Canis lupus familiaris: one gene and its partner. The protein of the gene in region 1 purifies or fractionates together with the protein of each later gene. This does not show direct contact. Links are inferred from orthologs where the notes say so. Each region holds a gene or a part of one and is shown on either strand. Other genes may lie near its edges. The genes, in order: EYA2 and ACAD9.

The links.
Region 2: the proteins of EYA2 (region 1) and ACAD9 purify together in Homo sapiens (affinity purification with mass spectrometry; 3 studies listed by BioGRID and IntAct, with this or other methods). This does not show direct contact. The link is inferred for Canis lupus familiaris from reciprocal best matches to the Homo sapiens genes EYA2 and ACAD9.

What each region holds. Positions count from the first base shown.
Region 1 is NC_049245.1:34,824,752-34,841,030, forward strand, and holds part of EYA2 (eyes absent homolog 2), read left to right. Parts: intron 1-5,433; coding exon 5,434-5,501; intron 5,502-7,505; coding exon 7,506-7,683; intron 7,684-16,279. UniProt on the Homo sapiens protein: Functions both as protein phosphatase and as transcriptional coactivator for SIX1, and probably also for SIX2, SIX4 and SIX5.
Region 2 is NC_049241.1:3,179,346-3,194,678, forward strand, and holds the end of ACAD9 (complex I assembly factor ACAD9, mitochondrial), read right to left. Parts: intron 10,130-15,333; coding exon 10,001-10,129; intron 8,043-10,000; coding exon 7,963-8,042; intron 7,257-7,962; coding exon 7,130-7,256; intron 6,937-7,129; coding exon 6,859-6,936; intron 6,382-6,858; coding exon 6,253-6,381; intron 6,239-6,252; exon of another isoform or gene 6,077-6,238; coding exon of another isoform or gene 6,014-6,076; intron 5,996-6,013; exon of another isoform or gene 5,637-5,995; coding exon 5,564-5,636; exon of another isoform or gene 5,109-5,563; coding exon of another isoform or gene 4,876-5,108; intron 4,649-4,875; coding exon 4,548-4,648; 3' UTR 4,096-4,547; downstream 1-4,095. Other genes in the region: CFAP92 (uncharacterized protein KIAA1257 homolog), read left to right, coding at 802-966, 1,509-1,721, 1,802-1,946, 4,876-5,108. UniProt on the Homo sapiens protein: As part of the MCIA complex, primarily participates in the assembly of the mitochondrial complex I and therefore plays a role in oxidative phosphorylation.

The DNA of each region.
Region 1 (16,279 bases):
ACATGGTCATACATTTCGCTAGGAAATGTACGGTTGAATCAATGGATGAATAGTCACTTGAACATTGTTTTGCTGATATGGTGGTTCTGGTCTGCAAATGTGGCAGAGGTGCAAGCTCCTTATATCTTGATGCTCAGCCGTGGGATCCAATGTGACCCAATTTTGCAGGGAAAGGGCATAATCAGGAAATTGCACACTTTAATTTATTACCCTCCCCTTGTCTAGAACTCCTCACACAGCCACACCATCCACAAGGGAAGCTGGGAAAGGTAGTATTTATTCTAATAAGGCATGTGCCCAGCCTAAGAGCAGAGATTCTGTTGACACAAGACAATAGGGGTGCATGGATATTGGGGGACCCCTAGCAGGACCTGTTTTCCTCATCTCACCCTTGCCTTCCCCCACCCTCCCGTGGGCACTCCACCAGCCAGATGGAGGCAAGAACTCGGTGTTTAACATTCCAGCTCACGGTGGTCCATTTGGAAAGCCCTCCAGAGACCACATATTGTGGCACAAGATTTCTGGGGCCACACTCCCCCATTCTCTGGGGGTCCTCTAAGGCATGGGATGGATTTCTCCCTGCAGGGGCTCTGGGACTGCCCTCGGCACACTGCAGTTTGTTCAGCTGTCCATTCTTCAGATGCCCCTGGGTCACAAAACAAAAACAAACAAGAGGCTGTTTGGGAGAAAGAATACCTAGAGAAGAGACTGTGGCCTATTTGTTTTCAAACCTGCCCTAAGTTGTCATTCAGAAGGTTGACACAAAAGAAAAGAGAAATCAGAACAGAAAACACTGCAGGCAGGAGTCTTCCTAGGGCAGGTGTGTTCCTAAGCTTTAGCGGGTAGAGTCACCATGGTAACCATGACCCAAAAAAATTATTTGCAATGGAGAGGCTAGCCTGGACCTTCTGTGGACCTGTCTGGACAGGCCATTGAGGACAGAATGGGATCTCAGTGTGCCACATGATTATGGACAAATTCCATGGTTTCTGGTCCTTGGACAAGACTCCATGTAAGGGAGAGAACAAGAGAGGACGCCCAGGTGTGGCTATGTTCCTGGTTCTTCTCTTCACCTGGCTGGCTCTAACTCATTCTTCAGAGATTACTTTAGGTTTCACTTCTTCCAGGAAGCCTTCCTTGGCCCCACCTCTCCCCAGCGGGCATTACAGAACCCTTCCCAGTGCCCAGCACATATCCTTCTTACCCCTGGATATGGGTATAGTTTATTCTGTAGATTTGACTCTGGAGCCATTTAAATAGTTTATATAATTATAAAACACATTTGAAAAAATTCCTAAAATTTGATAGCAAACTTTTATAAACCTAACAGCATATTGAGTTGATTGGCATTACTATACAGAGAGACTTTATTTACCCATATTTTTACTTTTTTCTTTTTTTTTCTTCTTTTCTGATGTTCCGGGAGTCTTCTTTAAACTCTGTTTCAAGAACTTCCTGTCCCCATCTTTTCAGAGTTTGCTGTGACAGATTTTCTTAGTTTTCCTTCATTTGAGAGTGTCTTCATTTTCCCTTCATTCCTGAAGGATATTTTCTCTGGATGTAGGATTCTGGGTTGAAAAATGTCGTGCCTCTTCCTTGTGGCCAACAGAAATCAACAAGCTTATTCTAAAGTTGAAATGTAAATACCAAGTTTATACATAGAAGCCAAAACAATCTTGAAAAAGAAGAACAAAATTGGAGAACTCATGCTACCTGATTTCAGAACTTACAATAAAGCTGCAGTAATCAGGTCAGGATGGAAATGGTATATAGATATATTCCAGATATATCAGTGGAACAGAGTCCAGAAAGAAGATTTCACATTAATCATCAATTAATTTCTGGCAAAGGTACCAAGTAATTCAGTGAGGCAAAGGATAAACTTTCTATAGTGGTGCTGGAACAACTAGATATTCATATGCAAAAGATTCATCTAGACCCTTACCTCACACCATACACGCAAAATTAACTTACATTTGATCCTAGAGCTAAAACTATGAAATTTCTGGATGAAAACATAGGAAATAATCTGACCTTGGGTGAAGCAGTAAAAGCAAGATCCGTAAGGAGGATTTTGATTTTTTTAAAAAAGGTTCTGCTCTTCAAAAGACACCATTAAGAAAATGAAAAGATAAGCTATAGACTTGGAGGTAATATTTGCATATTGGTATCAGATAAAGGACTTGTGTCCGGAATATATAAGGAACTCTTACAACTAAGTTTTAAGAAGACATACCTAACTTTCTTGTTTAATGGGCTAAAGACTTGAATAGGTCTTTTTCTAAAAAGATACATAAATGGCTGATAAGCACATGAAAAGATTCCCAACATGATTAGTCATTGGACAAATGCCTAAAACCACAAGGAAATAGTACTACTCTACACCTACTAGAGTGGCTATGATCAAAAAGACTGAAATTACCAAGTGCTAAAGAAATCAGAAGTCTCACACTGTTAGTAGGTATGTGAAATGACACAGCCACTTTGGAAGACCCTTTGACCATCTCTTTAAAAAGTAAAACATACTCAAAAACAAAAACAAAAAAAGTAAAACATACTCTTGTCACACTATTCCACAGTCCTACGCCTTGGGATCTGCCCGTGGGGAATGAAAACATATATCCACACAAGGACTCGTATGCAAATGTTTACTGCATACAACTATATGCAACTCTTTATCTGGAATAGTCCCAACTGGATGTGGTGCATTCACACCGCTCAGAAACGTCTAGAAAAGGCAAAACTCTAGAATCAGCAGTAGATCTGTGGCTACCTGATGCTGGAGATGGGGGTTGATGGCAGAGGGGCGTAAGGGAATTTTGGGGATGATGGAAATGTTCTAAAACTGCATTGTGGTAACAGGTGCACAGTTGTATCAATTACTTTAAAACTCATCCAGCTGCCCCAGAGAGGAATTTTATAGTATATAAGCTATATCCCCCCAGAAAAGCAGTTTGAAAAAGCATCAGCAATAGCAGCATAGAGGGGTATGGAAAACTCAAGTCAGACTGTCTAGGGCCAGCCCCAACAGCTGTCACCCACTCTCTGTGCTGCCTTGGGCACGTCACTTAAATTTTCTGTGCCTCACTTTGTCCAGGAAAAGCTCAGAATAGCACCCGACACACGCAAGTTCACCATTGTCATTCCTGTAGCCACCCTCTTCCCCTTCTGGGCTCCTGCCTCACTGGACTTTCCTCTCTTTCTCTTACCTGCCAAGCGAATCTCTGTGTTAGGATTTGTTGCACCCAGTGTTCGTGAACACTCGTCCCCCAGGCTGTGTCCAACGCTGGCATGTCTTGGCTCCAGTGTCCTCTCAGAGAGGCCTTGCCTGACCACCTTGTCGTATTTTTTTTTAAGATTTTATTTATTTATTTATTCATTCATGAGAGATCCAGAGAGAGGCAGAGACACAGGCAGAGAGAAGCAGGCTCCATGCAGGGAGCCCAATGTGGGACTCGATCCGGGGACTCTAGGATCACGCCCTGGGCCAAAGGCAGGCACTCAACTGCTGAGCCACCCAGGTGTCCCGACCACCTTGTTTTAAATGACACCCCATTCACCACTTACTTATTCATTCACTAAATAGCGTTTTCTAGTAGTAATAGAAGTATCATTTTTATTGCCATTTTATAGATGGGGCAACTGATGTTCAGGAGCAAAAGTCCTTTTGTGCATTTATTCAGCTTACTACCATTTGGTTTATTTATTTACCACCATGCACCCCTTAGAATAGCTACGTTCAAAAAAAGAAAGGAAGAGAGAGAGAAAGAAAAAGGAGAAAAGGAAGAGAGAGAAAGAGGAAGGAAAGAAGGAAGGAAGGAAGAGTGAGTGAGTGGGTTGATGAGCATGTGGAGAATTTGGAACCCTGTGCTGTGTTCAAGGGAATGTAAAATGATGGAACCACTATGGACGACAGTATGGTAGTTCCTCAAAAAATTAAAAAGCAAATTTTCCTATGATCTAGTAATTCTGCTTCTGGGTGTAAACCTAAAAAAAATTGAAATCAGGATCTGAAAGAGGCATTGTGGAGTTTTGGGGATTTTTATAATTGTTCTTTTTTAATCTGCATTCAATTAATTAACATATTATGGATTATTGGTTTCAGAGGTAGAGGCCTGTGATTCATCAGTCTTATCTAACACCCAGTGCTCATTACATTCCATGCCCTCCTTAATGTCCATCACCCAGTTACCCCATCCCCCCCTCCTCCCCTCCAGGAACCCTCAGTGTGTTTTCTATGGTAAAGAGTCCCTTATGGTCTGTCTCCCTCTCTGATTTCGTCTTCTTCTATTTTCCCTCTCTTCCCCTACTATCCTCTGTTTTGTTTCTTAAATTCCACATATGAGTGAAATCATATGATAATTATCTTTCTCTGATTGACTTATTTCACTTAGTTCCATCGATGTCATTACAAATGGCAAGATTTCATTTTTTGATGGCTGAGTAATATATATATATATATCGCTGCCATAAACATTGGGGTGCAGGTGCTCCTTGGGATCACTACATTTGTATTTTTGGGGTAAATACCCAGTAGCACACTTACTGGGTCATAGGGTAGCTCTATTATCAACTTTTTGAAGCACCTTCATACTGTTTTCCAGAGTGGCTGCACCAGCTTGCATTCCTAGTAACAGTGTTCGAGGCTTCTCCCAAAAGAGGCATTTGTACCCACATGTTCATAGCATTATTCACGGCAGCCAAAAAATGGAAGCAATCCAAGTGCCCACCAACAGAAGAATTATAAACAAAATATGGTATACAGTACAATGGAATGTCACTCAGCTTTAAAAAGGAAGGAAATTCCGGCACGTGCCACAACATGGACGAACCTTGGAGACATGATGCTAAATAAAATAAGCTAGTCCCAAAAGTCAGATGCTACATGATTCCAGTTATTCAAGGATCCTAGAGTAGTAGGATCATAAAGACAGGAGAAGGGTGGGTGCTGGGGGTGGAGGAAGGGGAGGAATGGGGAGGTATCATTTAATGGGGACACGACCTTAGTTTTTCAAGATGAAAAAAACTCTGGGCATGGACGGCGGTGAAGGTTGCAGAACAATGTGAATATACCAAATGCCACTATACTGTACACTTAGAAATAGTTAAAATGGTAAAGTTTTATGTCATGTACATTTACCACAATGTTTTAAATAAATATTTTTTAAACATGATCATTGAGAACCAGAACCTGTATTGTATGCACTGTCTCATTTATTGCTCAGCACAATCCTTTGATGAAGGAGTTACTTATTTCATTCATCAATTGACAGAACTGAGGCTCAGAGAGATTTGGCAGCTTGCCAGGGTCTCAGGTTGCCTCCTGTTCCAGCCTGTCAGTCCTCAGAGCCCACCTGTCTGCCGAATCTTTCTCCTCCTCATCCCTCTCCGACTGTAAGAAACCTCATCTGTACCTGTCCCTCCTTCCTGCAGGCACAGCAGGGATCTACCAAGGAGCAAATGGCCTGACCAACGCAGCCGGATTCGGAAGTGTGCACCAGGTAGGTGTCACTCCCCCATCACCTGTTTTCCCTGTTCTTTCCCTAAATCAGGACACCCTGAGAGCCCACTCCCGCCCACACCCCCCGCAGAAATGCTGTCTCTTATTCCCTGGGTTTAGAGACCATAGGAGTCCGACTGTGCAAAAGGCCATCAGAAAGAAACAGTGTAGAGGCAGAGAAATTGAAATTACTGGCGGGTTTCCAAGGTGACATAGGCGATATCACAGATTATGTCTTGACCTGAGCCCAAGACACCCATTGACTGTTGAATCTAGAATGTATGAATGCAAATGCGTGTGCTCGCTCACCAGCCGTGACCTTCTCAAGCATGAGAATCCATCATCTTCACCTCTGCATTCCAGTGCCGAGGGCCCAGCACACAGCGGGGGCTTTATAAATGCTTGTTAAATGACACCAGGTCAACCCTGTAAAGATGGTTTGATTGTCTTGCTTTCACTTAGAGAGCAAATTAAGAATGAGAGCATGGGAACTCTGTCCTATTTGTGCACCTCTTCTATGAAGTCTAAAATTATTTCAGAACAAAAGGTGAACATGCTTTCAGGCTAACATTAAAACAAAACTACCACAGAGTGGGTGGCGTATTTAACACATTTAAATATGAGGAATTCACTGTTTCTTCTTCAGTGAGCTAAAGAATCTAAGTGATTTAAATCTTGGAAGATTGTTTCTGTATTTCCGTATAATTTCCAGTATACTGTGGACCTGGATAAAATACTCGTAAATACAGCAGTTCCTTTTAAGGTGTGGTTCCTCGCTCTGCCCATTTCACCAATAGGAGCTTGTCAAAAGCAGAGATTTCCCTAAATGCCACCCCCAGAAATTATAGTTCTCTAGGGCCGGGGCAGTGACCAGGAAGCTGAAATTCTGTGAGTCCTTGCAGGGTTGAGAAGCACTGGTTTATGATGATGGTGGGACAGAGTATTTGGAACAATGACTATCATGGGACAGCTGGAGTATGTGGCTGGTTTAAGCAAAGCTTGATTAAAAAAAAAAAAAGGGATTGGCATTCCTTGATTTGATCTCTGAGATTTCCCCATAGAAGATTCTGGATCTCTAGTGCTGTGTAGGTGCTGCTGTACTTGTACCCCTCATGAACTTAATATGTCACCTAGTCTCCTGGGTCTGTGCGTATGAGGTCTCTATCACTCATTCATTGGTTCGTTGATTTATCTAGTATTTATTTTTTATAAGATTTTATTTATTTATTCATAAGAGACACAGAGAGAGGCAAAGAAACAGGCAGAGGAAGAGGCAGGCTCCTTGCAGGGAGACTGATGCAGGACTCGATCCCAGGACCCCACAATCATGACCTGAGCCAAAGGCAGACGCTCAACCACTGAGCCACCCAGGTGCCCCTCTCTAGTATTTGTTGGGTTCCCCTCTGTGTCCAGCACGATTTCAGATGCTAGGGATACAATAGCGATCAAAACAGACATTGACAGCCACATCCCCTGACTTCCAGATTGCAACCTCTGTATCCCCGGGCTGAGGGTTTTCCCTAGAATCAGAGCATAGGGCAGGAGGCAAGTGCCAGGGAATGAAGAGCCCAGGGAGCAGCTCTCAATCAAAGACTGGCTGGAGTTGGTATATGAACAACCCCAGCTCCCTTGCCACTAGGAGACATCATTCTGAGGGTATGTTTTATACCATCCCAGTGTTTCCCCGGGGAATTCCCTCCAGTCCCCACTTAGAAGCCCTCAGATTGGCTGCTCTTGCTTCTTCCCTTTGCAGTCTCACTTCCCCATCCCCCACCTGGTGTCTCCTTCACCTCCCGAATACTTGCACTTGCATCCTTGTCTTGGGATCTGCATGTGGGGAGAGTCCCTATCCCTGATGGAGCTTTATTCTAGTGAGAGAGATGGAGATAGACAGCAGACCCACCTCACAAGACCCTCTGCCATCGTCAGCCTATGACTGGGCTGCAGGACAGCCCCCACCCAGACAGCCTTCCTCACTCAGCGCCTTGTGTGTCTCCCTTTCTAGGACTATACTTCCTACCCCGGCTTCCCTCAGAGCCAGTATTCCCAGTATTACAGCTCATCCTACAGCCCTCCTTACGTCCCAGCCAGCAGCATCTGCCCGTCTCCCCTCTCCACATCCACCTACGTCCTCCAGGAGGCATCTCACAGTGTCCCCAACCAGAGTTCTGAGTTGCTTGGCGGTAAGTATGGTCACTGTCTCGTGGTTATTGGTGGCTGAGACCTGAGCTCTTGTAGGAAGGATGGACTGGACAGAGGTCCCAGTTGTAATGAACTGGTTACCCAAGAGCTAAATCCAGCCCTCAAATATGTTTTGTTGGCCTTTCCGTGTATGTGTGTGCGCCTTTAATTGTGCCCATGTTTAAAATGTTTTTTAAAGATTTTATTTATTTAGGAGATCCCTGGGTGGCTCAGCAGTTTAGTGCCTGCCTTCAGCCCAGGGCATGATCCTGGAGTTCCAGGATCGAGTCCCGCATCAGGCTCCCTGCATGGAGCCTGCTTCTCCCTCTGCCTGTGTCTCTGCCTCTCTCTCTCTCTCTCTCTGTGTGTGTGTCTCTCATGAATAAATAAATAAAGTCTTTAAAAAATATATTTTATTTATTTATCCAAGAGAGACACAGAGAGAAAAGCAGAGACATAGGCAGAGGGAGAAGAAGAATCAGAAGACTGATATGGGACTCAGTCCCAGGACCCTGGGATCACGACCTAAGCCAAAGGCAGACTCCCAACCACTGAGCCACCCAGGTGCCCCCATGTTTAAAATTTTTACCTAAAAATTCTAATTTCAAAAAAAAATTCTAATTTCTGCGTTCTCTTGAAAATAGATCTGGTCTTCTCTTGAAAGAAAATCTGAACCTGGTCACTTAGGTCTACATTCATAAGTGACAACCCTTGGCTGGCTGAGTAATATGTGCCCCATTCAGACAAGGCACACACGATTCCATATCTGGCCAACATACTTCAGGTTCATTACCTGCCTGGCGCTTGTGTGCCCTGGGATTGATGAGCCCCAGTCCTCAAAGAAGGGAAACTAATATTTGCTACCCATCTGCGATGTGCCAAGCACTTATCTATGTGGTCTTCTCATTTCACTTATTTATATATTGATTCAACAAAAATTTTAAAGCACCTGCTGTTTTCCAAGCAGGAAATAAAGTGCAACATAGACTTGATTCTTACAGACAGGAATCAAATAATCACATAAATACAGAATTTCAAACTATGATAAGGAAAGTCACAATCCTCACAAAATCTGGTTTTCAGTTACCCCCTTTTTTCCAGGTAAGAACAATGAAGATCGGAGGATAAGTAACTTGGTAGTAATTGGTGGAATTGGGATTTGAACCCAGGCCTCTTGGGCTCCATAACCAGGGCTCCTGGATATTCAGTAGCCACAAATAGCTGAGATTATTTATCTAAAACCCATTTGAGAACAGAAGGTCAGTGGCCATCAAACCTTGGTTCTCTCATCAAGAATTGAATCTTTTTAAAAAATCCTCACACATGTATTTTTCCATAGCAGAACAGCTTTAGGAATTCCTTTTATTGGCCAGGATTTTTTGGCTTCGAAAGATAGAAGATACAATTCAAACTAGTTAAGCAAAAAAAAAATGTTTTTTTTTTTTTAGATTTATTTATTTTAGAGAGAAAGAGCATGCACATGAGTGGGAGGAAGGGTAGAGGGAGAGAAAATCTCAAGCAGTCTTCCTGCTGAGTGGAGCCCAACACAGAGTTTGATCTCACCACCTTGAGATCATGACCTGAGCTGAGACCAAGAGTCAGACACTCAACCAATTGAGCCATCCAGAACCCTCCCCAAAAAAGGAAATTTTAAACATATGCAATCAAGATATATAGTAATTCAAGGCTGGGTCCAGGGGTTCAGATGATAATTTTTGGACTTAGTCTCTTTCTTCCTCTGGCTCTGCATTTTCCTGTGTCCATTTCACTCTCAAGCAGGCTCTCCCATTATGGTGGCAAAGATGGTCACCAGCCACTTCAGGATTCAGTTCTGCCTTCCTATCTACCCCTCAGAGAGAGTTCCTCCTTCCAAACAGCCCCTGCAGAGGTCCCAGGTAACACTTCTGTTGGCCCAGCTTAGGTCACATACCTGTCCTCACACCAGTCTCTGTGGCAGTGGTTGGAATGCTGAGATGGGGCAACAGACCTGGGTCTTATGACCACAGCGAGAGCTAGAGTTGGGTCATCTCCACCCAGACCATATGAGGGAGAGGGAGAGGTGGTTTCCAAAAAAAAAAACCCAGAGCACACTACCCAGGGGAAGACAGAAGAGATGATGGGCCAAAGTACAGGTATCCACAACCAATGGCACCCACCTAAATTAAAGAGTAACATGTGGTGGGGTGCCTGGGTGGCTCAGTTGGTTGACCATCTGCCTTCAGCTCACGTCATCATCCCAGGGTCCTGGGTTGAAAGCCTCAAGTCAGGCTCCCTGCTCAGTGGGGAGTCTGCTTCTCTATCTCTTTTTGACCTGCTCCGTTTTTGTTCTCTCTCTCTCTCTCTCTCTCTCAAGTAAATAAATAAAATCTTAAAAAAAAAAGAGTAACATGTGGGGGAGCCCACGTCCTGGCCCCTGGGTGATGTACATCCCTATGCAACTAACTCACCAGCCTATGAATTCATTCATTCCTTCCAAAGATCTGCTATGCACATGGCTTCTCTTTTATGACATGGTTTAGATATATTATCATTAATTGACATGACAGCAATGATTTAGAATGCCCAATGTAAAGGAGATACCATTGCATTTTTTTCTCTTTTCTTTTCAGTGGGTTCTGAAAAACTGGGGCTTGTAGAAGTTAAGCTAACATGAGAGTGTATGGACATTGATTCAATAAATACTGGCTAATGGTTAGAAAAAGAACAGTAGCGGAAACTAACTTCTTTTGTTCCTGAGGTTCTTGGTACAGCTGTTGCTTTTAGCCTTTAAATTTTCCATCACTGGGACAAGTTAATTATCCTTGGTTTGGTGACAAACGGAGACAACATGGCCAGGCATTTTTAAGTCCATGGTGGGCTTGTTTGTTTGTTTGTTTGTTTGTTTAAGAAAGCTCCGTGTCGAGAGCGGAGCCCAGTGCAGGGCTTGAATTCATGACCCTGATATCAAGACTTGAGCTGAGATCAGGAGTCAGATGCTTAACATACTGAGCCACCCAGTTGTCCTTTTTAAGTCAATTTTTAAGGAAGTTTAGGGCTTGAGCATTGATTTTGGTCATTGTGATTTCATTGCAATACTCAATGAATGCGTAGTATCTAGGTAACAACTTCCAAATTGCTTTCTTTGAAGGGTGTGAAATTTAACAAACTTTTCTTTGTCATAATTCTAAATTATCTTTGACCATCCTGCTTTTCAGAGTGTGGCTGCTCCACTTGGTTGCAGAAAGGAGATATAAGCAGGAAATCCTGAAGTAGTTGCCACTGTCTATGTATAATTTGGAACTGGATTCCAAAGACTTACTTCCTAAGAATTTGGGGTATTTAGGAAGGTTATCTTTGTTCCCCATCAAGAGCAAACATAAAGGTTCATTGTATCTCTTTGAAACGTTTCTTTATTGTTTCCCCCTGTTCTTCATTTATCGCTTGGTCTAAGGTTCAACAATAAGTGGTTGAGATGGTTTTTACTGTGTGTCTAACAAGCTCACATAAAATCTAATGACATAAATAGTTGTCAGCTGTAACTGAGGTCTCTTGACTCTTTTCCCCGGTGTCTGTTATAAAGGAAGGGCATGTAAGCATGCATGTGTGCACATGTGCGCAAGCGCACGCACACACACACACACTCTCTCTCTCTCTCTCTCAAAATTTCCCATAAAAACTCTACTTTTGAAATTATCCAGGATCTCCTTGAGTGGTTGGTTCCAAATTCCAGAGCCTCAAGAGGTTTATATATTACCGATAGATCATGCTCATACTCTGCATTGCCTGGTTACAGTATCCTGATGCTCTTCACCCCAGCCCTCTGCCCAGTCTGCATTGATATGCATTAACATACAAAGTTCCAGCAATTTACAGATGATTGCAGGGCAATTTGCTGAAGTAGAGGACAAAATCTGAACATACTTCACTCAAGAGAAAAAAACAAATTAGTAGTGGTTCCTTAAGGGCTTTTTTCTTTTCAGACTTTTCAGTATGATGCAGATTATCTAAAAAGATAATTGGACAGACATTAGAGCTCCTGATTCTCAGGCCTTTGGATTCCAGGACTTGTACCAGTGGGGCCCGAACCCTCCAGACTTCCCCTACCCCAAGTTCTCAGGCCTTCAGCCTCAGACTGAATTATATCACCAGATTTCCTGGTTTTCCAGCTTGCAAAAAGCAGATTGTGGGACTTCCTGACCTCTAACTGCATGAGCCAATTCCTATAATAAACCTCCTCTTATATATATATTTACATGCATCCTGTTGGTTCTGTTTCTTGGGAGAACCCTGACTAATACCCCATGAGTCAAAGAAAAAAAAACAAGAAAATTTTAAAGTATTTTGAACTTAATGAAAATGAAACATAACATGTCAAAATTCGTAGAACATCACTAAAGCAGTACATAAGAGGAAATTTATAGCACAAGTGTCTATGTTAGAAAAGAGGAGAAATTTCAAGCCAAACACCTCCTATTCTGCTTTAGAAACTAGAAAAAGAGGAGCAAAATACACTCAAAGTAAGAAGAAGAAAGGGAACAATAAAGACCAAAATGCAAATCAATGAAATCTGAAAACAGAAAAAAAGAGAGAAAATCAGTGAAACCAAAAGCTGATTCTTTGAGAAGATAAATAAAACTGATAAAACTCTAGATAGGCTGATACAGGAAAAAGAGAAAAGATGTAAATTACCAATAGAATGAAAGTGATGACATCACTACAGATACTACAGATATTAAAGAGATAATGATGCAATTTTACAAACATCATGCCAACCTAAATAGATCTATAGCTTTAATAGGCCTATATCTATTAAATAAATTGAATTTTTTGTCAGAAATCTTCCTTCAAAGAAATCACCAGGCCCTGATGGCCTCGCTGATTAAGACTACCAAACATTTAAGTTAAGAACTATCAATCCTACACAAAATTTTGAAGAAAATTGAAGAGGAAAGAATACTTCCCAACTCATTCTATGAAGCCAGCATGACCCTGATGCCAAAACTAGACAAAGGCATTATAAGAAAAGGAAACCAGGGGCACCTGAGTGGCTCCGTCAGTTAAGTGTCTGCCTTTGGGGACACCTGGGTGGCTCAGTAGTTGAACATCTGCCTTCAGCTCAGGTCATGATCCCAGGGCTCAGGAATCGAGTCCTGCATCAGGCTACCTACAGAGAGCCTGCTTCTGCCTCTGCCTATGTCTCTGCCTCTCTCTCTGTGTTTCATGAATAAATAAAATCTTTTTTTAAAAAAAGGTGTATGCCTTTGGCTCAGATCATGATCACAGGATCCTGGGATGAGCCCTACATCAGGCTCCCTGCTCAGTGGGGAGTCTGCTTCTCCCTCACCTCTGTCCCTACCCCCACTCATGCTAGTCCCCTCTCTCTCAACTAACTAAATAAAAATATTTTTTAAAAAAAGAAAAGAAAACTATAGACCAATATCCCTCATCAACATAGATAAAACACTTCTAAACAAAATGTTAACAAATCAAGTCCAACAATATATGAAAGAAGAATAATATATAATGACCAAGTGTGATTTATCCCCAGGAAGCAAAGGTGGTTTAAAATTTGAAAATCAATGTTATTTGCCATATTAACTAACTGGAAAGGGAAGGAAAAGTTCATCTAAATAGATGCATAGAAAATATTTGACAAGATTTATCATCTGTCCCTGATAAAAATTCCAAATTAGGAATAGAAGGGAACTTTCTTTATTAGAAAAAGACATGTTATAGACTGAATGTTTGTGTCCTCCTCCAGATTCACATGTTGAAGTCCTAATCCCCAATGTGTTGGTATTTGGAGGTGGAGTCTTTGGGAAGTAATTAGGTAATGACGGTGGAGCCCTCATAAATGGGGTTAGTGCAATTATAAGAAGAGACATATCAGAGTTAATATATCTCTCTCTCTACTGTGTCTGCATATAGCAAGAAGGCATCCATCTGAAAACCAGGAGGAAGACTCTGACTAGCAATAAAATTGGCCAATGCCTTGATCTTGGACTTCCCAGACTCCAGAAATGTGGAAAATAAATCTTTGTTATTTAAGCCACCCAGTCTGTGACATTTTTGTCATAGCAGCCCAAGCTGACTAAAATAGGATAGCTTCAAAAAACCTACAGCTACTCCCCAAGATCAGAAGCAAGACAAAGATGTATACTCTTACCAATTCTATTCACCATTGTATTGGAGATTCTAGCCAGTACAGTAAGGCAAGAAAAATAATTTAAAGCCTCCACATGGGAAAAGAAGTAAAATGACATGATCACCTATGTAGAAAATTAGATAGAATTTATTAAAATGCTGAAACTAAAAAGTGAGCTTAGCAATGTTGCAGAGTACTAAGTGAATGTATAAAAATCAATTGTATTTTAATATAGTAACAATAAGCAATAGGAAATAGGATAGTTTTTTAAAAAAAAGATTTATTTGAGAGGGAGAGAGTACAGTCAGAAAAGGCAGAGGGAAAGAAAAATTTAAGCAAACTCTGTGCTAAGCACAGACCCAGAGGTGGGGCTTGATTTCAAGACCCCAAGATCACAACCTGAGCTGAAACCAAGATTCAGGTGCTTAAATGACCACACCATCCAGGCACCCAGAAATGGGATAGTTTTAAATCTCATTTACGGTACCATCAAAAAATATTAAATGCTTTGGGATAAATCTGACAAAACATGTGCAAGAGTTGTACACTTAAAACTATGAAACACTACCGAAAGAAGTGAAGACTTAATTTTTTTAAGATTTGATTTATTTTTTCATAAGAGACACAGAGAGAGAGGCAGAGACACAGGCAGAGGGAGAGGCAGGCTCCCTGTGGGGAGCCTGATGCAGGACTCAATCCCAGGACCCCAGGATCATGCCCTGAGCCAAAGGCAGATGCTCAACCACTGAGCCACCCTAGGTGAAGACTTTAGTGAATGGAAAGATATACCTTACTCACAGCTCAGAAGACTTAATATTACTGAGATGTCAGCTCTTCACAAATTGATCTATGTATTTAACACAATCTCTGTCAATATCTGACTCTTCTCTGTAGAGATTAGCAAGCTAATTCTGAACTTCAAAGAATACAAAGGATCTAGAATAGCCTCAATGGCTCTGATACAGAAAAACAAAGTTGCAAAGCTAACACTACCTGATTTTAACACTTATTACAGGGGCACCTGGGTGGGTCAGTTGATTAAGTGTCTGACTTCTGCTCAGGTCATGATCCCTGGATCCTGGGATCAAGTTGGGCTCCCTGCTGAGAAGGGTGCCTGCTTCTCCCTCTGTCTCTGCGCCCCCTCACCCCCCGCTTGTGCTTTCTCTTTTATTCTCTCTCTCTTTCTCTCTCTCTCAAATAAATAAGTAAAATCTTAAAAAAAAATACTATAGGGCCACAGTAATCATGATAATATGGTATCACATAAAGATAGACAAGTAGATCAATGTACCAGAATAGAGCATGCAGAAATAAACACACATAGATATGGACAAATGATTTTTTTTATAAAGTTTCAAGACAATTCAGTGGAGAAAGGATAGTCTTCTCAACAAAAGATTCTTGACGACTGGATATCTATATTTGGAAAAACTGTACTTCAGCCCATAACTCACATGACATAAAAAAATTAACAAAGAATAGATCATAGACCTAAACATAAAATCATAAAACGTGTATAGAAAACAGGAGAAAATCTTTGTGACTTTGGGCTAGGCAAAGAATTCTCATATATGACACCAAAAACATGACCCAAAAAGAAAATAAATTCTATAAATTGGCTTCATAAAAATTTACAACTTTCACTCTTTGAAGGATACTGTGAGGAGAATGGGAAGAGAAGTCTGGGGGGCAAATAATTACAAAGCATGTATCTGATAAAGTATGTTGTATTAGAGTGCTCCAAAGAAACCAGAGATAGAGAGATAGAGATTTATTACAAAAAAATAGCTCAAATCAGCAAGTCCCGTGACCTGCCTCCTGCAAGCCAGAGAGCCAGGAAAGCTAGTAGAGCAATTCAGTCTGCGTCAGAAGGCCTAGGAACCAAGAACTCCAATGTCTAAGGCAGGAAAAGATGGACATCTCAGCTCAAGAAGAAAGGTAACTTGCACTTCCTCTGCCTTTTTGTTCTATTTGGGCCCTCAGTGAAATCGGTGATGCTCTCCTGCACATTAGTGAGGGCAGATCTCTACTGAGTCTATTGATTCAAATGCCAATCTCTTCTGGAGACACCCTCATAGACACACCCAAAAATAATGTTTTACCAGCCCATCAGCTTGACACACAAGATTCACCATCACATATTATGTAATATAGGAGGAATTCTCAAAACCCAAGACTAAGGAAACAAACAACTCAGTAATGAAATGGGCAAAATTTGAGCAGATACAAAAAAAGATACAAGGATGGCAAAAAAAAAAAAAAAGTACATAATTAAGATGCTGATCATTTGTCATTAGAGAAGTACAAATTAAATCCATAATGTGTACCCCTTAGAATGGCTGTAATCGTGAAAACTGACCATATCAAAGGTAGGCAAGGATGTCGAGCAACTAGAACTCTCTTACCCCACTGGTGGGAATGTGAAATGGCACAACCACTTTTGAAAACAACTTAGCAGTTTCTTAAAAAGTCAA
Region 2 (15,333 bases), on another chromosome or scaffold:
ACACTGGGGCTTGGCCTAAATAAGTGGTTAATGTGAGTCAAGGTCACTATCTTCAGCTTTAAAAATTTTTGTTTTGGGCAGCCCAGGTGGCCAGGGCGTGATCCTGGGGACCTGGGATCGAGTCCCACGTTGGGCTCCCTGCATGGAGCCTGTTCTCCCTCTGCTTGTGTCTCTGCCTCTCTGTGTCTCTCATGTATAAATAAATAAAATCTTTAAAAAAAATAAAACTTTTTGTTTCAAAACAGAAGATGGTGATTTTGCTGAAAGTTAATAGACAAGTGGTGGGCAAGCTACACCGCAATAGAGTGCAACTTTCTTTTCGGGGTCCCAGCCACTTCTCCCTGCAACACCGCAGCTTTCATCCACAAAGAAGCTAGCTGTCAGACCATCTTGGGGGCTCTGGAGAGAAGGTTGACACTCCCTATGTAGTCAGCACTTAAAGGTGACCATGGGCAAGGATGGTAGTCCTTGCTGCTTTAGGTCATAATCTACCCTGTATATGCATGAAAGCTTCAAGCTTCTCCCACTTCTGACCACCTGAGCCTCAAATTCTATCTGTGGCTGGCTCTTGTGTTCCAGTTACTTTAACCTTAGGCAAATCGCATCATGGTCCTGAGTTCCACCATGGACAGCGAGGGGTTAGAGCAGGTGGCCCTCTGGTAGCGTTCTGTGATTGAATGGCAGCTCTAGTATTCAGGACTTGGTATGTGCGCTGTGGCCTGGTCCCACAGATCATCTTGCTCACTACACGCTGGAAGCTGGTATTGAGGGGACTATAATGATTGGTGTCTCTTTCCACAGAAAAATATTACTAGAGCCTACCAGGTTAGTAAGAAGCCTCCAAAATCTGTGGTGAAGGTGATCAGAATTTCAGCCCCTACCAAAGATGCGGTTTATAACTACAGTATCCAGTCCCTGAATTCCACAGAGCTTGCTAAGAAGGAGCTGTATCGAGAGATGGCCAAGGTGAATGGGAGGCCCAGAGAGGGAGGCGGGCCGTCAATGCTTGTAACTCCAGACAGAAAAATAGTAATTGGCTAATCCAGTGAGCTCTCTCCTTTTTTGACTATACTGCCTAGAGATCAGCAAGGGATCTCTGGTGTGCATAAGAAAGCCAACCAATGGGAGGAAATAGACAGGCATCAGGTGCTGGGGGAGACATGTTCTGTTCCCGCACTATGTAGGGATCCTCCACACATAAGGGTGAGCCAACAGATCCTCAACATATGCTCATGTGTGCCTGGCTGCAAACCCCCTTAGAAAGCATTCTGTTGTCACCATGAAGGAAAAGCCCTGGCTTAGGCTTCCAACATGGTAGCTTTAGAAAAGGGTTGCTCTGTCAAAGAGAATGTGAACGTGACCCTCACAGTTGTTATTCTGAATGGTCCTTTACATTGTCAGGAACGGTGCCACCATTTCTAATGCTTGCCTGGAGATGGGAGGGCTAGTCAGCCCCTTCCACATCTGCTACCAGCCCTTCTATCCTCGTGTCTGCCCCTTGTTTCCAGGAGCCAAGGAAGAGATTCACATACTCCCAGAATTACCTCTCAGCCATGGTGGAGCCTCAGGACTCAGAGGAAGAGGAGAAGAAAGCCAGGAAGAAATCCCGCCAGGCCTGGCTCACAGCCAATGGATTCCAACTGACTGGTCTTCACAGAACCACTGAATGCGACCATCACCTCAGGCTGCCGCCCATTGGCACTGATCCAGAGCTGAATGAGGTCCACAGGGTGGAGAGGGGCCTCCAGTGGGGTGTCTACAGGGCCCTCCATCCTAACTTACTGTGTTGTTCTCGACGTAGGAGCGGAGGGAAAATGCACAGCCTGCTAGTGTGCTGGATCGAGAGAGGTGGAGCTGGGACCAGCGCCACCAGGACTTTGACCTGTATAAGCAGCCACCACTTTTCCTTGAGCTGCCCCGTCCTCCAGCACCTAAGCCTGTAACAGGTAAGACCTCTGCAAGGCTCAGCCTCCTGATGTGGGCAGTCAGGACCTCTGCTGCTTTGCATCTTTGGCAGTACCCTTTTTGTTTTAGCTGTCCTAACTTTCTAAGCTAGGAAGTCCAGAGTCAGAATGGGTCTGGCATTAATGTGCTAGGCTGGAACTCAAGAGCCCTGGATTCTAGCTCCAGCTGTGATACTAATTCGCTGTGGGTGATGTTGGACAAGTCCCTTCACTGTTCCTGGTCCCTGCTCCGTACCAGCTTATCTTATAGTATGCACGAGTTTGGAGATGGGCAGTGGGAGAGGAAGAGAATCCTCAAGTAGACTCCTTGCTGAGTGAGGAGCATAACCTGCAGGGCTTGATCCTAAGACCCTGAGATCCTGACCTAAGCCAAAAATCAAGAGCTGGCTGCTTAACCAATTGAGCCACTTAGGTGGCCCCGCTAGGCCCGGTTTCTTAGCTATCAAACTTGTAAGTTGGGAGACAGGTCTAAGGGCTGTCTGCACCCCAACACGCATTACCCAGGTCTAGATGCCCGGCCAGCAGCTGGGGGCAGAGGCTCTGGCCACCTCTGGGACCTTCTGACTCCATTCCTGCTCCAAGATGTTGCCATCTCCCACTGTGTGTGGGAAGGAGGGAGTTTAGAAGCATGAGTCCCTCTCATCCTTCTGTTTATAAAGATGGGCCTCCAGATCATTTGTACGTTCTCAGAGAACCAAAATCTGTTGGTTGCCAGAACCTTGGTTCAGGGAGAAAGTTTACCTAGTGACAAGGTTTGCCAGAGAAACCTTTCTCAGAAAGCTAGACCAGATAAACAAAATGGATTTCTTTCCTTCTCTAACCCTCGAAGGCAGCTGGTAACTGCTCCATGAAACAAGAGGAAGTGCCAACAAGCTGCTGAAATTTGTCTCCCTTCTGTCTGGCCCCTGCTGCCTTCCCTTCAGAACAAGCTCCAGGCTCTGGGGCTGCGTGGTCAGTCCTGTTGGTACAGACCAGACCAGCAATGCCAGGCTTACCTCCTTGGCCCGACTGCTGCCACTGAACTCCACTGCAGGCCTTCCCAGCACACATTCCCTGGGCACAGATGCACACTGAGGCCTCTCCTCCCCACCATGTTTAAAGAAAACTTGGAAATGGTAGGGGGGAAAGGGAGATTTGAACCAGGGGTCCCAGCCTTTGAAACTCAGCCGAGTGAAGACAGAACCAGCCGCCGACAGGGGCGTCCATACTGCAGGGACTACAGTGAAGCCCCCTTTCCTGAATGGAGGTCCCGGGGGCACGGGGTCTGGACAGCTGCTTCCCAAGCTTCCCTGGCAAAGACCTTCTGTGCAGCCTCTGGTCGCTGGCATTGAACCAGATTAGTACTCCCCTTGCCAACAAAACACCCGAAGACCTTTAAGGTTTCACTGGTAACTTAGCTCCAGTGCCGTAAGATTTGTCAAGTTTTACCTTTTGAAGATTAGTTATCCAATCCCTGGCAGAGGGCTCAGGCCAGCCCAGTGTTTGCATAGCAGACTGACTTGTACTTGAAAAGAAAGGAGGGACGCCTGGGTGGCTCAGCAGTTGGGCACCTGCCTTCGGCCCAGGTCGTGATCCTGGGATCCAGGATCGAGTCCCGCATCAGGCTCCCTGCATGGAGCCTGCTTCTCCCTCTGTCTATGTCTCTGCCTCTCTCTCTGTGTCTCTCATGAATAAATAAATCTTAAAAAAAAAAAAAAAAAAAAAAAAGAAAGGAAAGAGGAGCCTTGTCTTCTCTTCCCACCTCAGGGTGACATCTGTAGTGTGGTTTTCTGGAGCCCCAAACCACCTAGAACCAGAAGAAACCTCAAAGCTTGCCAGTGTGAGCATGCTGTGACCCAGTGTGGGGAAACAGCAGCAGAAAGGAGCCTAGACTAATGCAAAGGTCTAGTCATGCCTTAAGATTCCTTTTTGCCCCCCTCTTCAGGAGTAGAGGCCAACCTCTCTACAGACAGCAGAGAGAAAGGCCCCAGGCAGGAAAAAACATGTGTTATCATGTATCAGACCATAAAAAAGACCAGAGACAGGGCCTTAAAAATCCCTAGGGTACTGTGGTCTGGGCTGGGCACCCACCCCTCACCATCACCAAAGGGGGAAACTCGGCTCTGAGGAAAAACATGCTCAGTATACAGCGTGAGGGCTAAAAGGGTAAAGCATTTTATATTTGTTGTCAGATGGTTCCCAGTACACAGGTTAAGTGCATTTGTTCTATGAACACAGCTGGTCTTGCAGAAGTAGCTATCCATGCCTGCAACAGGTCCCCACCAACCTCCTGACGCAAAGGCAGCAGCACAAGCCCGTTGCCACTGTATGTCTCCTAAACTAGCAGAAGCCCCTCAGCTCCCAGGTGTCACCAACTGCATTCTCTCTCCTGTCTCTTCAGCACCTGGGATCAGGTCAAGTGGCAGTGCCAGCAGGGCAAAGCCTAAAGAAGCTCCGCCCCCAGGCCAGGAGAAAGTCCTTCTGGTCTATACTGGGAAAAAACATTTCCACTTGTAAAAATTCCAAGTGCTCCACCTCCCGGAGAAAGAGCTGACCAGCGATGGGTTGTGGCCTCGGGGCAGTAGGGAACACTGTCCATTTGCTTCAGGACGTCCTGTCCAGAGGGTGGGCACAGATGTAGGCTTGCTTTTCTAGGACCTGCTGGGACACTTTCTTAATCTGCTCATCTAGATTTTCTGGAGAATCTGAAAGCAAAAAATATTAATAGGTTTGTGAGAAAAGAAATACTGCTGGGGTGTGGCTTTTTTTTTTTTTTTTTTTTAAATAAACAAAGTAGCCCACCCACTGTGAAGGAGCCCTGAAGCTAACTTTCCTCCTCCAAACCCTCAGGAAGTGTGATTCTGGCTGTAGGGAAAAAGAGGGATGGGGCTTCATCCTGAAAAACAAAGGGCTCATCTTGTTGATCCCTCAGAACTCTGGATCTTGTGGGAACAGGGGCTGGAGAAGGATCCTCTGCCAGTCAAGCCTTTACAAGAGAAACCATGTCTCCCACCACAGAATGGAACACAGATGCCAGCACCCAGAGCCAGAAGCTGCACACAATCATGTACTCCTCTTCTCAGCAGGTGCCATGATGGCCTCTCCTCCATCTCTTGGCAACAGGGCTGGGCTCTACAGCAGGGGACACAGAACATGGAGCCTTGAGGCTGAAATGACTGTAAGGGTCAGAGGAATCTGAGCCAGGTCCTCTCAGACATAGCCATGTGGCTACGGTAGAGGAGCATTCTAGACAAACAGCCCTATGTGCCAAGCCCCTGCACAGGGTAGGGCCAAAGCCTGAGACACCTGCTAGAAGGGCAGGTTTATTTTAGCTGGAGTGCAGGGGGTAAAGAGGCAGATAAAATGCTTCCCTTCTTTGTGGAACATCACTGGGTGGCTGCTAGGTGGCCAGGCATGCTGGGCCACACCCTGGGAGGCTCTGACAGTCTTCACCTGCAGGTATATGCTCCTAGCTGGCAGGCCCTGCTGCAGGTGAACCTGACCTTAGCAGCCCTCACTCAAGGGAGAGGTTTGTGAGTAGCCAGCAGACCCTGGGAGCCTGGCCATCAACAGTCACCTGGACTCAGGCCCACCTTCCCTCCCAAGGCCACCCTACTTACATTTGTCCAGCTGGGACAGGGTGAAGAGATTCTGGTAATAAGCTTCTGCACAGAAGATGTTGGCCAGCAGAACCTGTCAGAACCAAGATTGAAGAGGATGACATAGGGCATCCCTTCCCTGGTGTGTGTGTTTCAAGAACTCAGCCAAACTAAGCAGCTTGGCTCGGGTCAAAAGGCCTGGCTTGGGGGTCAGTCTTAGGTTCTAATTCCAGCTCTGACCCAAATAGCTCTGTCCCCAAGAGCAAATTACTCAACACCTCTGGGCCTCAGTCTCCTCTATGGCAGGAAGGCCATCATAATGCTAGTGCCCAGAGGCTACTGAGGGACAATAAAGACCCAGCACACAGCAGGTGCTTAGTGACTGCATCTGGCCCCTCAGGCAGGGTAAGGAAGGCAGATGCGGTGAAGGCACAAGGTTTGGGACCCCATCACTTACTCTTTTTTCCTCAGATAGAAAAACAAAAGGGAGTGGCCCCATGTCCTGAGCAGCACAGATCTTCGCATTGGAGCTGACCACCGGTACTGGCCACAGCTCAGCAAACTTGCCAGCCTCCTGGGACCACCACTGGACCAAAGCCCTGACTTGCCCAGTCCCTTGCTCCTGACTGAGCGTTGCCATCCACTGACCCCCTTCCCCAACCACAGGCCTCATTAAAGTGCAGAGGATAAAGCTGGCAAGGGCTTATTACCTCATGGTCGTGGTTTCGAAGCCCCACTCGGATGGAACGGCTGGCCCGCGACAGCACGGCTGTCATGCCATACAGGTTGATAAGGATGTTGGCTACCCGCTTCAGGACCATCTGCTCCTCCACGATGGTCTGCCAACACAGAGCCCAGGGTGGAGACATGCAACCCAGGAACCTCCCTCCCCGGGCCCATCTTCAGCCATCTCCAAGACTCACTTCATGCCTCAGTAGAAGGGGGTTAACACTGCCTCTCCCTTTGGGTTGTGGGAGGCTGGCTCACTGGCCGCCTTGTTTTCCCTTCTATCTAGATTTGGGCATGGATCAGGCCAAGACCAGGTCCCAGAAACCTGGCTGAGACCACATGCTGCTGGTTACTGTGCTTCATGTCAGCCTGAGCAGCAGCAGCCTCACAGATCAGGGCCCTAGATTTGGGCTCCCCTCCCTACTCCAAGGACATCTACCCAAGTGCCCCCTGGGACAGAGAGCCCCACCCATCCATGGTGACCAAGCTTTCTTTCTAGGCTTGGTCCCAAAGATAAAATGCCCCATTCTCCCTGGCTCCCAAGCTGGAGGGCCTGCCATCCCCAGATCTGGCAGGGGCCCAGGTACCTTGCCAAAGCGGAGAAGCAACGTCTCCACGGTGCGGCCAAAGTAATACACATTCTCCTCGAGCTTGTTGGCGCTGTCCTAGTATGCCAGAGGAGAGACTGCTTGGTGCCACTCCCCACGGTACCCATCTCACCCAGCCCAGGGCTCTGGGGCCCAGGCTCTGCCCACCAGGCTGGGCCATCCTCCCAGATGCCCTGGTCACAGCCCTCTGGACGAGGATACCCACCAGGAGGGCACCCACATGGGGGGTATGCCAGGTGTGCCCACTCACTGCGACACTGGGGTGCACAGCTCCCAGCTTCCCTGTCAACCCCAGGTCCACGGTTCGGCTCAGGGAGTCTCGAAGCCTCTGGCTGACAGTCTCGATGACAGTGGTCACATTGCCCCGTTTAAGCTCACTGCAGAAAGCCCACAGCCCCGTGAACTCAGGCCTCACTGCTGGTTCCCACTGTTGAGCAATAGGGTCCCCCTTGGCACCCCAGAGCTACAGGTACCTGGTTCCCTCTGGTGATCCAAGACAATAAAGGGACAACTCAGGCCCTACATGCTGCTCTACCCTAGCCTGGGCCTGCTGGATGCCTGAGACCTCCCAGCCAGTCTCTGAGGCAGAGCACACAGAGCCTCTCTACAAGAAGCAGTCACAACTAGCCCCCAGGTGGTGCTCTGGGGTAAAGGAGTCTGCAAGATGCTCTCAGCAACTCACACCAGACTCCAGCAGTGATTTCTAGTTGTTCTAGCCCCATGATGGGGGTTAAGAGGAGCAAGAGAAAGAGTGAAGAAAGTGGTCTCATGTTAGTCTGGGAGCCCAGTGCCTGTCTGAGGGATAGCTCTCAATCCCTAGGCTCTGAAAACAAAGCTCCCTGCAGCATGGGAGATAGAAACTGCCAGGGGAGGAGGGCAATGAGGGCTTCCTGAGGCAGCTGGCACCTCCTATCACTTGTAGGTGAAGGCCAAGCTCTGCAGTCTGGCTTTCAGGGCTCCTGTCCCCTTCTTTCCCTCTAGCCAGCCTATGACTGAGCTGAGCACTGCACGGCTCCATGACCCCCATTCTGATGTCTATCCCAGGATGGGGCCCGAGGAGCAGACAGTGGGGCTGGCACCTACTTGATCCTTGTGGTCAGGATGCGGCCAGCATGCTGCAGACCTGTCAGGGCAATGTACATCCGGAGAATCTCGTTGGTTCCCTGTGGCCAGGAGTATGGAGGTTAAAGTTGGCTCCACTAGGATGGCGCTGGTTTGTGCTGTGCGTGTAACTGGGTAGGCCACCCCACTGCCCGCTTGCCAGTGCCACGGAGGCTGCCGCTTTGGAAGTAGCCTCGCAAGGGAGCAGGGCTGTGACCTGAGGGTGAGGGCAACACGCTAGCCCCACCTTCACAGGGATGAGCAGGTTGCCGACCAGACAACCGGGGACTCCCTCAGGATCTACCACCTTTCTAGGACCAAACATAACGGAGTCACTTTTTCCAAGCCTCCAATTTGGTTTCTTTATAATTAATGGGAGAAACTCCTTTCCCTGAGGGGAGGGATGCCGATGCCCAGGACGCAGCAAGTGCTCCCAGGTTCCTCAGGGGAGCCACTGATCTCTAAGGACGAGAGCTGGCTGCCCCCAGTACGGGGTATCAGTACCCAGAGGGCCACCTCTTCCCTGCTGCTGTGCACACTGTTCCCCTCCCAATCTCCTTGGGATTATTTCAGGGAGGTGGGCCATGGGTCACAAAGCCAGTACTGGACACTGAGCCCTGCAGCCAGCCTGGCCACGGACAGGAAGACACCCCTGGGAGGACTGCAAGTCAAGGTGTGCCCAGTCCTGCATAGTCTCCAGATGGGACCATCTGCCTCACTCTGAGGACTCTGCAGCCCTCAAAGCTGCTGCCCCATCTAGTCACATAGGAGCAAATTCAACCAGGTCAAGGGGAAGGGGCCTTGGAAGCAGCAGTCCTGGGGGCAGCCCTTGGGAAAGTGCCCCTGGACCCTCAGGCTGGCCACATCCTGTCTGTCCTCCAAGGAAGGAGACCATAGGGCTGGCATGTGGGGGGCATGGCGAGAACTAGCAGCTATGAGGCCTTTCCCTGGGTTGGGGAGCCTGGGAGCCGGGCATCCAAAAGCGCCCTTGAGAAACCACACAGGATGCTCAGGCTCCAAGTCTCATCTCTGGGCTTGCCTCCTGCACACCCTACAGCCATCCTAATTCCATCCCTCTCTCTGCACGGCCCTCTCTCCTACTGTGTGCACCTGGCCTCTGGTCTCACATCTGCAACTCCCACGTCAGCCCCAGGGAAATTCCCAGAATGGGAATGCATTCAAGTCCTTTCCTACTCAGAAACCTCTAATGAAAAAAAAAAAAAAAGAAACCTCTAATGGCCTCCAGTGCCTGCACAGTAAGATCCAAACTCTTCTGCCTACTGGCCAAGGGCCCCCCGAGCCTAGCTACTTGGCTCCCCTTCTCATCTACCCTCTGCCCCCACCCCACCAACTTTTCTACCACCTGCCCCAGCTCCGCCCCTACCAGGACCATCCACTGCTCCCACAAAGATATGCTTATCCTACTCAGTGCATGCCCTATCTGGGGGTAGCATGTTCCATCTCCCTATCCTTGGCTCAAACCACCTTCCCCTTGGCCAGGCCAAAGTCATTTCTGTCCTCAAAGGCCAAGTGCACTGGCTTCCTGAGACACTAGCCCACTGAGGGAGAGATGCAGCTCAGGCCCTCCCTGCACTGGTGTTCCGTAGTCTACCCTGGTCAGTCAGGCCACGAGCTCCTCATCCCCCTTTGTTATCCCACCTGGGGTCTCCCCACTCACAGAATTCCCTCTTTTGGCTTGTGAGCCCATGGAGGGGGCAGCAATTAGGGAGGTGTCAGGGCTGGGAAAGTCCATGGAGAGGACCCTGCTGAGGTGCCTGTACTCTGGGGAGGAAAGGCAAACCCAGAGTGAGCCCTGGAGGCACAACTGGGCCTCCCGTGAGATCTCTGTTTGTCCCACCACAGACAACTGAAGGGACAGGCTCAGCAAAAAGGGCGCTCGCTTGGCCCCTCAGCCTCACCTCCACCCCTGGAGAATGGGGCCACGCAGAGGCATGAGGAGGGACAAATGAGACTACTTGGGGGGGGGGGTGTGGGGGTTGGCAGGGCGGCGGGCACTCACCTCGAAGATGAGCAGGATGCGGCTGTCACGTAGCAAGCGCTCATATGGGTAATCCCTCATGTAGCCTGAGCCCCCGAGGACCTGCAGTGCCTCACTCACGCACTGCCAGGCACCCTCCGAGCTGAACACCTGCCATGGAGCCAGGACACGGTAAGCACAGGGGTGACAGGGCCAAGTCCCTTCCACGAGGGGGAGGGGGCCTCAGCCAGGGCAGAGTGGCTGGGGATGGAACAGGCAGCTTGACATGGAGAACCTGGCTCTAGGATAAGACCAGCCCAGCCAGTCTCACTGGGTGGCCTCGGACAAGTCCTTTTCTCTCTGGACCTAACTGACCAGCTGTGGCTCCCCACCCACCGTGACTCCTCCTATCTCTGAGGCTTCCCTGGGATGCAAGATCCCACTCCACACCTTCTACACTGAGGAAACTCCTGTCCTTTTGAAACCCACTTCAGATTCCCTCTCCAGGAGGCCTGACCCTGTCCACCTAGCCCCGTTCACCTGCAGCTTGCTTCTCCACATGTAAGTGAGCTGCTTGGCCCAACATGTGCCTGCAGGTGACACATAAAAGTGGAAAGCTGGAGGGAGGGGCAAGATGGCGGAAGAGCAGGGTCTCCAAATCACCTGTCTCCACCAAATTACCTAGAAAACCTTCAAATTATCCTGAAAATCTATGAATTTGGCCTAAGAATTAAAGAGAGAACACCTGGAATGCTAGAGTGAGAAGAGTTTGCGCTTCTATCAAGGTAGGAAGACGGGAAAAAAGAAATAAAGAAACAAAGGCCTCCAAGGGGGAGAGGCCCCGCGAGGAGCCGGGCTGAGACCGGGGCGAGTGTCCCCAGGACAGGAGAGCCCCGTCCCGGAGAAGCAGGAGCTACACCGACCTTCCCGGGCGGAAAGGGTATCGCGGGGAGTTGGAGCAGGACCCAGAAGGGCGAGGATGCCCTCGGCTTCCCTGGGACAGTAACAGAGCAACTGCGCACCCAGGAGAGTGCGCCGAGCTCCCTAAGGGCTGCAGCGCGCATGGTGGGACCCGGCGGGACCCGGAGCAGCGCGGAGGGGCTCGGGCGGCGGCTCCGCGGAGGGGGCTGCGCGGCCCCAGGAGCAGCTCGGAGGGGCTCGGGCAGAGGAAGAGGCTCCGTGCGGAGGGGGCTGCGCGGTTCCAGGAGCAGCTGGGGGGGCTCGGGCGGCAGCTCCGCAGAGGGGGCTGTGCGGCCCGGGAGCGCGAATCCAACAGCGCAGGCCCTGGAGCACAGGGCGCCGGGACACAGCCCAGGATCCGGCCTCCCCCGGGACAGGCAGAGGCCGGGAGGGCCCAGGACCGCAAGGACGCTCCTGGCCCGAGCTGAGCAGAGCAGCGGCCCCGCCCCGGAGCCTCCAGGCCCTGCAGACGGAGAGCTCTGGAGTTCTTGCCGGAGCTGAATCCAAGGCTGCAGAGCTGGCCCCGCCACTAGGGCTGTTGCTCCTGGGGCCTCACGGGGTAAACAACCCCCCACTGAGCCCTGCACCAGGCAGGGGCACAGCAGCTCCCCCAACTGCTAACACCTGAAAATCAGCACAACAGGCCCCTCCCCCAGAAGACCAGCTAGACAGACAACTTCCAGGAGAAGCCAAGGGACTTAAAGTACACAGAATCAGAAGATACTCCCCCGTGGTTCTTTTTTTGTTTTGTTTTGTTTTGCTTTTTGATTTCTTTCCTTCCCCCACCCCCCTTTTTTCTCCTTTCTTTCTTTTTCTTTCTCTTTTTCTTCTTTTTTTTTCGTTTTTTTCTTCCTTTTTTTTCTCTTTCTCTTTTCTTTCCTTCTTTCTGTCCTCTCTTTTTCTCCTTTTCCCAATAAAACTTGCTTTTGGCCACTCTGCACTGAGCAAAATGACTAGAAGGAAAACCTCACCTCAAAAGAAAGAATCAGAAACAGTCCTCTCTCCCACAGAGTTACAAAATCTGGATTACAATTCACTGTCAGAAAGCCAATTCAGAAGCACTATTATACAGCTACTGGTGGCTCTAGAAAAAAGCATAAAGGACTCAAGAGACTTCATGACTGCAGAATTTAGATCTCATCAGGCAGAAATTAAAAATCAATTGAATGAGATGCAATCCAAACTAGAAGTCCTAACGACCAGGGTTAACGAGGTGGAAGAACGAGTGAGTGACATAGAAGACAAGTTGATAGCAAAGAGGGAAACTGAGGAAAAAAGAGACAAACAATTAAAAGACCATGAAGATAGATTAAGGGAAATAAACGACAGCCTGAGGAAGAAAAACTTACGTTTAATTGGTGTTCCCGAGGGCGCCAAAAGGGCCAGAGGGCCAGAATATGTATTTGAACAAATTCTAGCTGAAAACTTTCCTAATCTGGGAAGGGAAACAGGCATTCAGATCCAGGAAATAGAGAGATCCCCCCCTAAAATCAATAAAAACCGTTCAACACCTCGACATTTAATAGTGAAGCTTGCAAATTCCAAAGATAAAGAGAAGATCCTTAAAGCAGCAAGAGACAAGAAATCCCTGACTTTTATGGGGAGGAGTAATAGGGTAACAGCAGACCTCTCCACAGAGACCTGGCAGGCCAGAAAGGGCTGGCAGGATATATTCAGGGTCCTAAATGAGAAGAACATGCAACCAAGAATACTTTATCCAGCAAGGCTCTCATTCAAAATGGAAGGAGAGATAAAGAGCTTCCAAGACAGGCAGGAACTGAAAGAATATGTGACCTCCAAACAGCTCTGCAAGAAATTTTAAGGGGAACTCTTAAAATTCCCCTTTAAGAAGAAGTTCAGTGGAACATTCCACAAAAACAAGGACTGAATAGATATCATGATGACACTAAACTCATATCTCTCAATAGTAACTCTGAATGTGAACGGGCTTAATGACCCCATCAAAAGGCGCAGGGTTTCAGACTGGATAAAAAAGCAGGACCCATCTATTTGCTGTCTACAAGAGACTCATTTTAGATAGAAGGACACCTACAGCCTGAAAATAAAAGGTTGGAGAACCATTTACCATTCGAATGGTCCTCAAAAGAAAGCAGGGGTAGCCATCCTTATATCAGATAAACTAAAATTTACCCCGAAGACTGTAGTGAGAGATGAAGAGGGACACTATATCATACTTAAAGGATCTTTTCAACAAGAGGACTTAACAATCCTCAATATATATGCCCCGAATGTGGGAGCTGCCAAATATATAAATCAATTATTAACCAAAGTGAAGAAATACTTAGATAATAATACACTTATAGTTGGTGACTTCAATCTAGCTCTTTCTATACTCGATAGGTCTTCTAAGCACAACATCTCCAAAGAAACGAGAGCTTTAAATGATACACTGGACCAGATGGATTTCACAAATATCTACAGAACTTTACGTCCAAACTCAACTGAATACACATTCTTCTCAAGCGCACATGGAACTTTCTCCAGAATAGACCACATATTGGGTCACAAATTGGGTCTGAACCGATACCAAAAGATTGGCATCGTCCCCTGCATATTCTCAGACCATAATGCCTTGAAATTAGAACTAAATCACAACAAGAAGTTTGGAAGGACCTCAAACACGTGGAGGTTAAGGACCATCCTGCTAAAAGATGAAAGGGTCAACCAGGAAATTAAGGAAGAATTAAAAAGATTCATGGAAACTAATGAGAATGAAGATACAACCGTTCAAAATCTTTGGGATGCAGCAAAAGCAGTCCTAAGGGGGAAATACATCGCAATACAAGCATCCATTCAAAAACTGGAAAGAACTCAAATACAAAAGCTAACCTTACACATAAAGGAGCTAGAGAAAAAACAGCAAATAGATCCTACACCCAAGAGAAGAAGGGAGTTAATAAAGATTCGAGCAGAACTCAATGAAATCGAGACCAGAAGAACTGTGGAACAGATCAACAGAACCAGGAGTTGGTTCTTTGAAAGAATTAATAAGATAGATAAACCATTAGCCAGCCTTATTAAAAAGAAGAGAGAGAAGACTCAAATTAATAAAATCATGAATGAGAAAGGAGAGATCACTACCAACACCAAGGAAATACAAACGATTTTAAAAACATATTATGAACAGCTATATGCCAATAAATTAGGCAATCTAGAAGAAATGGACGCATTCCTGGAAAGCCACAAACTACCAAAACTGGAACAGGAAGAAATAGAAAACCTTAACAGGCCAATAACCAGGGAGGAAATTGAAGCAGTCATCAAAAACCTCCCAAGACACAAGAGTCCAGGGCCAGATGGCTTCCCAGGGGAATTTTATCAAACGTTTAAAGAAGAAACCATACCTATTCTCCTAAAGCTGTTTGGAAAGATAGAAAGAGATGGAGTACTTCCAAATTCGTTCTATGAGGCCAGCATCACCTTAATTCCAAAACCAGACAAAGACCCCACCAAAAAGGAGAATTACAGACCAATATACCTGATGAACATGGATGCAAAAATTCTCAACAAGATACTAGCCAATAGAATCCAACAGTACATTAAAAAAATTATTCACCATGACCAAGTAGGATTTATCCCTGGGACACAAGGCTGGTTCAACACCCGTAAAACAATCAATGTGATTCATCATATCAGCAAGAGAAAAACCAAGAACCATAGGATCCTCTCATTAGATGCAGAGAAAGCATTTGACAAAATACAGCATCCATTTCTGATCAAAACTCTTCAGAGTGTAGGGATAGAGGGAACATTCCTCGACATCTTAAAAGCCATCTATGAAAAGCCCACAGCAAATATCATTCTCAATGGCGAAGCACTGGGAGCCTTTCCCCTAAGATCAGGAACAAGACAGGGATGTCCACTCTCACCACTGCTATTCAACATAGTACTGGAAGTCCTAGCCTCAGCAATCAGACAACAAAAAGACATTAAAGGCATTCAAATTGGCAAAGAAGAAGTCAAACTCTCCCTCTTCACCGATGACATGATACTCTACATAGAAAACCCAAAAGTCTCCACCCCAAGATTGCTAGAACTCATACAGCAATTCGGTAGCGTGGCAGGATACAAAATCAATGCCCAGAAATCAGTGGCATTTCTATACACTAACAATGAGACTGAAGAAAGAGAAATTAAGGAGTCAATCCCATTTACAATTGCACCCAAAAGCATAAGATACCTAGGAATAAACCTAACCAAAGATGTAAAAGATCTATACCCTCAAAACTCTAGAACACTTCTGAAAGAAATTGAGGAAGACACAAAGAGATGGAAAAATATTCCATGCTCATGGATTGGCAGAATTAATATTGTGAAAATGTCAATGTTACCCAGGGCAATATACACATTTAATGCAATCCCTATCAAAATACCATGGACTTTCTTCAGAGAGT